Linked DNA regions of Arabidopsis thaliana. The protein of the gene in region 2 interacts with the protein of the main gene of each other region in a pairwise test. Each region holds a gene or a part of one and is shown on either strand. Other genes may lie near its edges.

The links. The genes of interacting proteins can lie anywhere in the genome.
Region 1: the proteins of CRR4 (region 2) and DYW1 interact in a protein complementation assay, tested with the Arabidopsis thaliana proteins (one study listed by BioGRID).

What each region holds. Positions count from the first base shown.
Region 1 is NC_003070.9:17,483,571-17,487,020, reverse strand, and holds DYW1 (Pentatricopeptide repeat (PPR) superfamily protein), read right to left. Parts: upstream 1,446-3,450; 5' UTR 1,354-1,445; coding exon 634-1,353; 3' UTR 558-633; downstream 1-557. Other genes in the region: AT1G47578 (Biotin/lipoate A/B protein ligase family), read right to left, coding at 1,551-1,840, 1,923-2,073, 2,158-2,422, 2,520-2,656. UniProt on the Arabidopsis thaliana protein: Plays a major role in single RNA editing events in chloroplasts.
Region 2 is NC_003071.7:18,694,268-18,698,639, reverse strand, and holds CRR4 (Pentatricopeptide repeat (PPR) superfamily protein), read left to right. Parts: upstream 1-1,948; 5' UTR 1,949-1,982; coding exon 1,983-3,824; downstream 3,825-4,372. Other genes in the region: AT2G45360 (ankyrin repeat/KH domain protein (DUF1442)), read right to left, coding at 1-21; AT2G45340 (Leucine-rich repeat protein kinase family protein), read right to left, coding at 4,174-4,372. UniProt on the Arabidopsis thaliana protein: Plays a major role in chloroplast RNA editing. Acts as a site-recognition transacting factor to recruit C-deaminase. Involved in single RNA editing events.

The sequences.
Region 1 (3,450 bases), on a different chromosome or scaffold from region 2:
GAAGATTTCGAGACGTTTAAAACGGGGAAGCCACTTTACGTTTTGAGTCTTATCGGATTATCACTTGCATGGCAAGTAATGTCTTTAGGGCTTGTGGGTCTTGTGTGTTTGGCTTCTTCCCTTTTCTCTAATGTTGTCAGCTTCTCCGCGACACCTGTAGCGAACATTTTCGTTGTGTTGGCGTTTCGGTTTATGGATGACGACATTGGATGGTTTAAGGGAGGAGCTCTGTTAGCTGGGATCCTTGGGTTTGCATCTTATGTATATTCCTTGTACAAGGCTATTAAGAAACAGGAAATAGCAAGCCAAACTGAATTAGTAAGAGTATGATTAATGATTTGTATGTATAATTGTGATCCTATTTATTTAGTGTTTGTCCATTTCACTGATGCCTTTTAAAGAGATCAAGTTTGAGTAAATATGTTTGTTAGAGAGTTGGCAGATAATCTCCACAAGAGCAGCTACTATCTCTAAAATGATGAAACGTCTTGTTATCTCTTACAATGATCTATCTATCTTCAATACTCGATGATAAATAAACGTTTGAGGAAAAAGCATTGGAAGTTGCATAAATGGCTTATGCCCATAGTTTAGTATAACTTTGTAGAATTTCACATCTTTTAATACAAAAGTCTACCAATAATCTCCACAAGAGCAGTTACCATCTCTAAAATGATGGAACCTCTTGTTATCTCTTACAATGATCTCTCTATCTTCGATACTCGATAATATCTTTATGAAGTTATGGCAATCTCCACATATCCTCAGATTCTTCATCACCCTTATTGTCGTCCCTGGAGGAGTGTTTATAATCCCGAAAGCAATAGCTAACCGTTCACTATGATGCATCAAGGCTTTCTCTTTAGCTTCTTCATCAATGTCGTGAAGAACATACTTAGTCTCTGGTACATAGCCTGCGTCTCTCACTTCTTTCCCTAAAGATTTCAGCTTTACGTAGGCCTTGCTTCTATCTACAATAGCTTTCTTCTCACCCCCTGAAATCTCTGGCTTATCTCCTCTAACCTTTGTTGAATGACTAGAAGGTGAGATATGTCGTAAAGTAGTATCTTTTCGTACAGTGTTTCTTACTACTGAACCTGAAAGTCCTCTTGCTGTTTCTCTGCCACCGCTCCAAGTATCTAAATTTCTTTCAGGCAGTTTATCAAATACTTTGGGAGAAGTTTCCTTGACTTGAGTCTCAACTCCATCAGAGCTTTGAACTTGACTCTCACCCGCAATTCCCTTTGCTCTCGAGGTGATTCGTTGAAAAGATGAAGTTTCTCTCTCACAGAAGATTGCTTTAGGGACAGAGAAGGAGCAAAAACTCATGGAGAAAGCAGCTTCCAGAGCCATCCCTTTGTGGTCAATCCAAGAAGCAGATAAGCTTTCTTTGGAGAGAGAAATAGAGAAATCAAATCTCTCACACACATATCTACAAGAAAACAAACAACTTAACAAACTGCCAATAAAATCACTGGTCCACAAAAGGTTTCCTGCATAACCACCATCCCATAAATCACTTGTAAGCTAAGTAAGAACCACAAAATCCTTCAGCATTCCAATTTGAATACTGTTTGCTTTTCCATCTGAAGCTGAAAAACTTCAGAGAATTCCTTTAGTAACGACTCATGAGCTATATCTAACAACTGCAAATCTTCAAGCTTATTATAATGTTCTCCATCCTCAATCAAACCCTTTACGCTTCCAACCCCACGGTTCCTTATCCCACATGGAACTATGGAGTTAAAGGGTGTTAAATCTGTTGTAACATTAAGAGCTAGACCATGATATGTCATCCATTTCGACACACGAATACCTATCGCCGCCATTTTTTTGTTGCCTATATAAATACATATGTATTAGTTCACTAGCAAGAATCAGATCAAACCACAGTAAGAAGTGAAGATTATGAACAAACATACCAACCCAAACTCCAGTAAAACCGTCGAGACGAGAAGCATTGATGGCGAAAGCCGAAGAAAGAACACGAATAACTACTTCCTCAAGCTTCCTTAAGTACCAATGAAGATCCATTTTGTGATTCCGTAGATTGATTATAGGATACATAACTAGCTACATTTCACATTCATTGACAAACCATTAGCTTCAATATTGATGAATTTGAGAAGAAAACAAAGGAGACTCATTGTGTTTTACCTGACCAGGACCATGATAAGTAACTTCACCACCACGTTCTGTTCTATAAACATCGAAAGGAGCATTCTTTATGTCGAAATTGAGATAATTCTCTGAGCTTCCAGTTCCCATTGTGTAAACAGAAGGATGTTGTAGTATAATTAATGAATCTGAACACTCTTGGTTTTTATCAATCAAAGCTTTTTTCTCATTGAGAATGCTTTTTTGCCATGACCAAGCTTTCTTGTATGGAATTAATTGATCGTAGAGATCAAAACACTCACACCTGTAAAAATGTATACTCTGTTATGCATTGTTGAAGAATGCACGTAACGTGTTCGTTAAAATTCCTCAAAGAGAAAATAAAGAGAGAGGAACATTACTTTCTTGGGTTTGTGTGATTCTTCGAGTTCATTATCTTGAGAGATGTAGATACTCTGTTTCTGTTGAAGTCACTAAGATGGTGGTGATGATGGAGCTTTGGGTTCGTAACAGAGCTTGTTGCAACGGAAAAAACCATGTCTTTCGAGATAAATTATCAAACTTTAAGGCTTAGAAATTTCGAAGAAGCAGAAGTTTTGGAGTAATGGCGGAGACACCAAGGAAACTGTGAGAGTATTTTCGAAATAATTGAACATTGTTAGGGCTATTTTGGTCTTTTAACAGAGGGTTTGCCCTAATTTCTGGGTTCACTATATATATAATACAACTGATACACTGAGAAGTTATTGAGAACTGCAAATCTTTAAATCTCTGTTTGTCAAAATTATCTTTTCGAGCTAGCTAAAGCTTACAGATTCTGGTTTTTGTTATCCTTTTAAGATCAACCTTGAGTTTGTTGTTTTACGGTATTTGCAATTTTGTATTTGAAGTTTTTCTGTGAAAACAAAAATGGTGGTGATGATGAAGAAAAAATGACCTTTTATCACATGATTGAGATTTTTTAATCTCGTGATTACCTTTCAAGCACTTCTGAGCCACCTTTTGATTTTTTTGTTCTTTATAGAATTGGTTGTAATTGATAAGCTGAATTTGCTAGCCGCATTGATTTGGCCATGAAATGATAAAAGATCGATTTTTTTGTTTAATGCTTTATTTCTGGTTGAACTTGAATCTGATTATTTGACGATGATTACAGAATTAACATTAGCAAACTAGAAAACTTATCTGCTTGTCACATCTGACGATGATTACCAAATTATATTTTGACACATGGGTAATATGGAAAAAAGGACCGTAAATGAGCTGCTTTAGTGTAATATACAACATTAACGATTGGCTTTTGATTATACATAAACTTGAATAACAAAGACC
Region 2 (4,372 bases):
CGGCGACCAGACAAGCTTCATAGTGAAAGTGAAATGGAGTTTGATGATTTGGGAAGAAGAAGAAGAAGAAGTAGTTAGGTTTTATAAATGGACAAACGAAGCGTTGACATTTGCTTACACTAATAACAACGTGTCAATTGGTCTCATTGCTTCCATTTATTACTCCTTATTTAGCCTCACCATCTTCTTTTTTATAAAAAACACTTTGTTACAATCAATAAAATCTAATTTATAATTCCATCCTAATAAAAATTCGAGAATTTATGTCGTCGATTTGCGTTAGCCCACGCTCTTTTCACAACCTATGCAAACCAATATCCATAAATATACACAGTAAAATTTATCTAGACATGAATTACATATTTGAATCATTTGGTTTTGTTATAATAGATAGCAGTTGAATGTTTTTATTTTGTTACTTATTTCAGTTTCGTCAGAAGGGTAGCTAGCGTGTGAAAAATACCTGTAGTAGATCAAAGGATAATTTTTGATTGCTGACATTGTGGACTTAGTGAGACAACTTGAATAATTACATGAGATGGTCAGCTTCAATCTTTGATTTTTTCCTTTTCTTTTCTAAATTTTCAATCTTTTGATTAAAGCCTTTGTTATTTCAACTTAATGACGCGATTCATATACTATCTTTTTTCTTTGACACTCGCTTTCATAGTGCCAACCAACGAATCTATAATCAAAGGTTATATAAGAAACACCAAGCCTATACAAACATAATTTAACGCCGCCTAGTTTTGTTTATTCTGCACGTAACATATAAAGCTAACAGATATGCGACAAAATATCTATAAATTACATATATAAGTATATATAATATAAGAATGTTGGATGTATATATTAGTAGTTTAATCAATGAAAATATATCTTTATATCTTTATTAAAAAAACTAAAAATGTATCTTTATATACATTTCGTAGTTTAAAATCAAAATTCAAGATAGAGCGAAAATGATTTTTTTTTTTTTAAATGAACCAAAAGTACAACATTCCTACCTTTATTTTTAATAACTCGTTTATATTCGCCAATCAGACACACACATAGACTTTTAAAATAGTAAAAGTAACTTAGCCGATTATTTATGTAAAATATTCGTATAAAATTTTTATTAACAAATATATTTGATTTCTCATCTTATAACCTGTTTATTGATCAGATTACACGAAAAAATAACTAAACAGATAAATTTACTCGAACTGCATACAATAGAGATGTATTTGTGCATGAGTGTAGCCCAAAAATGTGTAAGGAAATAACACCCATTGGTAGGCCGAGACATGCCTGTACCATGGCCGCTGAAATAGTAGAAGAACCAAATACCTACCAAAGTACTCTTAAGCTAACGTTGACATGATTTAATTAGATTAACGATTGAGTAAACGACAAATTAGCGCTTTCGTTTTATATTAAAGACGCACGATATTTAAATGGCAACTATACATTAAAATTATATAAAATATATAACTATAACCAATTTGATAAATGAGAAAAATGTACGATATGTCGTACCACTCCATCCTGACTATGACTTATGGAGGAAGTCAATGCTTATCAACTACTTGCTTATCAATATCCTATTTATCACTATCAGTTTTTCTCTTTTCTATACATATATTATTTCCTATAGATCATGTTGGTCATAATGTAATCAACTTAAAATTTAAGATCTACTAGTTTGTGTTGAAGTATAACTGTATAAGCCTAAATTCGAACGTTAGTCTGACTTAATAGTTAATTCCATTTTGTTTTGGGTAAATGTTTCAGTTTCACTGCTGTTTGGAAAATCTTTGGACAGATATTGAGATTGGGCTTATAATATTTATTATTGGGCCTTAATTTAAGAGCCCTTTTATAGGCAGATACAAAAACGACGGCGTTTAACTCATCCGCTCAGCGACTTCCACATAGCCGTTAAAACGATGATAATAAACCCAATCCGGTTCATCTCCAACAGAAGAACGTAATAACTGATGCTTGTCTTCAAGTCAACCATGGAGTGTTCGATTTCATCCACCATTCATGTCCTTGGAAGCTGCAAAACTTCAGATGACGTGAACCAAATCCACGGGCGATTGATTAAGACGGGAATCATCAAAAACTCAAATCTCACTACGAGGATTGTTCTGGCTTTTGCCTCTTCTCGACGTCCGTATCTCGCCGATTTCGCGCGTTGTGTCTTCCACGAGTATCACGTATGTTCGTTTTCATTTGGAGAGGTGGAGGATCCATTTTTATGGAACGCCGTGATCAAGTCTCACTCTCATGGAAAGGATCCGAGACAAGCTCTGCTCTTGCTCTGTTTGATGCTCGAGAATGGGGTTTCCGTGGACAAATTCTCACTGTCACTTGTTCTTAAAGCGTGTTCGAGGTTAGGTTTTGTAAAAGGAGGAATGCAGATTCATGGGTTTTTGAAAAAAACTGGACTTTGGTCGGATTTGTTTCTACAGAATTGTTTGATTGGCTTGTATCTGAAATGTGGTTGTTTAGGTTTATCACGCCAGATGTTTGATAGAATGCCGAAGAGAGACTCTGTTTCTTATAATTCCATGATTGATGGGTATGTCAAATGTGGATTGATTGTATCCGCGCGTGAATTGTTCGATTTGATGCCTATGGAGATGAAGAATTTGATATCTTGGAACTCTATGATAAGTGGTTATGCTCAGACATCAGATGGAGTTGACATAGCGTCTAAACTGTTTGCTGATATGCCTGAGAAGGACTTGATTTCGTGGAACTCAATGATAGATGGATATGTAAAACACGGAAGAATCGAAGATGCTAAGGGTTTATTCGATGTGATGCCGAGAAGAGATGTAGTTACTTGGGCTACCATGATTGATGGGTATGCAAAGTTAGGTTTTGTTCATCACGCTAAGACTCTGTTTGACCAAATGCCTCATAGAGATGTTGTGGCATATAATTCTATGATGGCTGGTTATGTTCAAAACAAGTATCACATGGAAGCTCTTGAAATATTTAGTGACATGGAAAAGGAGAGTCACTTGTTACCCGATGATACGACTTTGGTAATAGTTCTGCCTGCAATTGCTCAGCTTGGCCGATTATCCAAAGCCATAGATATGCATTTGTACATCGTGGAGAAACAATTCTATCTAGGTGGAAAACTCGGTGTTGCTCTCATTGATATGTATTCGAAATGCGGAAGCATACAACACGCCATGTTGGTTTTCGAGGGAATCGAAAACAAAAGCATTGATCACTGGAATGCTATGATTGGTGGGCTCGCTATTCATGGTCTAGGGGAATCTGCATTCGATATGCTCTTGCAGATTGAGAGACTCTCTTTAAAACCAGACGATATCACCTTTGTTGGCGTTTTAAATGCTTGCAGCCACTCTGGGTTAGTAAAGGAAGGCCTTCTCTGCTTTGAGCTCATGAGGAGAAAACACAAGATAGAACCAAGATTGCAACACTATGGTTGTATGGTAGACATACTATCGAGATCCGGAAGTATAGAGCTAGCCAAAAACTTAATAGAGGAAATGCCTGTTGAGCCAAATGATGTCATATGGAGAACGTTTCTCACCGCTTGTAGTCACCACAAGGAGTTTGAAACGGGAGAGCTTGTCGCAAAACACCTTATTTTGCAGGCTGGATATAACCCGAGCTCATATGTGCTACTCTCTAACATGTATGCTAGTTTTGGAATGTGGAAGGATGTTCGTAGAGTTAGAACGATGATGAAGGAAAGAAAGATAGAGAAAATTCCTGGTTGTAGTTGGATTGAGCTCGATGGAAGAGTCCATGAGTTCTTTGTAGATAGCATTGAAGTTTCCAGTACATTGTAGATAAAACGAATGTGCAGCAATATATTTTCAAGGGCTTAAACCTATTCTGCAATTCCTTGGCATACATGAAGACAATGTCACATGGTTGGTTTTGTGCAGCTAAGATATGTCTGGAAAAAAACTTCCCACAAGATCACTTAAAACGTCTGAAAAGTGATTGTTTTTACAGCCTAAGTACATCAGCTACAGTTACAAGGAGATAAGATTGTTACATCATGAACCGAGTTTTTCGGATCCCCTATACTGAACCTAAAACAGAGTTAACATCAGGGGAATGGTGATAGTCTGAAACCTTGGTATGCTTTATATTCTTGGACTATCAAAAGCAAGAATCATGTTAAACGGGAAACTAATAATCCGCGGCGAGATTATTCAGTTCTTGGATAACATCTTCCATGGATGGTCTTTGGTTTGAGGATTCATGAGTGCAGAGAAGACCAAGTCTAGCGAGCTGAGCCGCTTCTACTTCCGGGAAGTTCTTTCGAAGATTTGGATCCATGAAGTCTTCATTCAGTCTTCCTGACTCTACAGCTTGTAAGATCATCAAA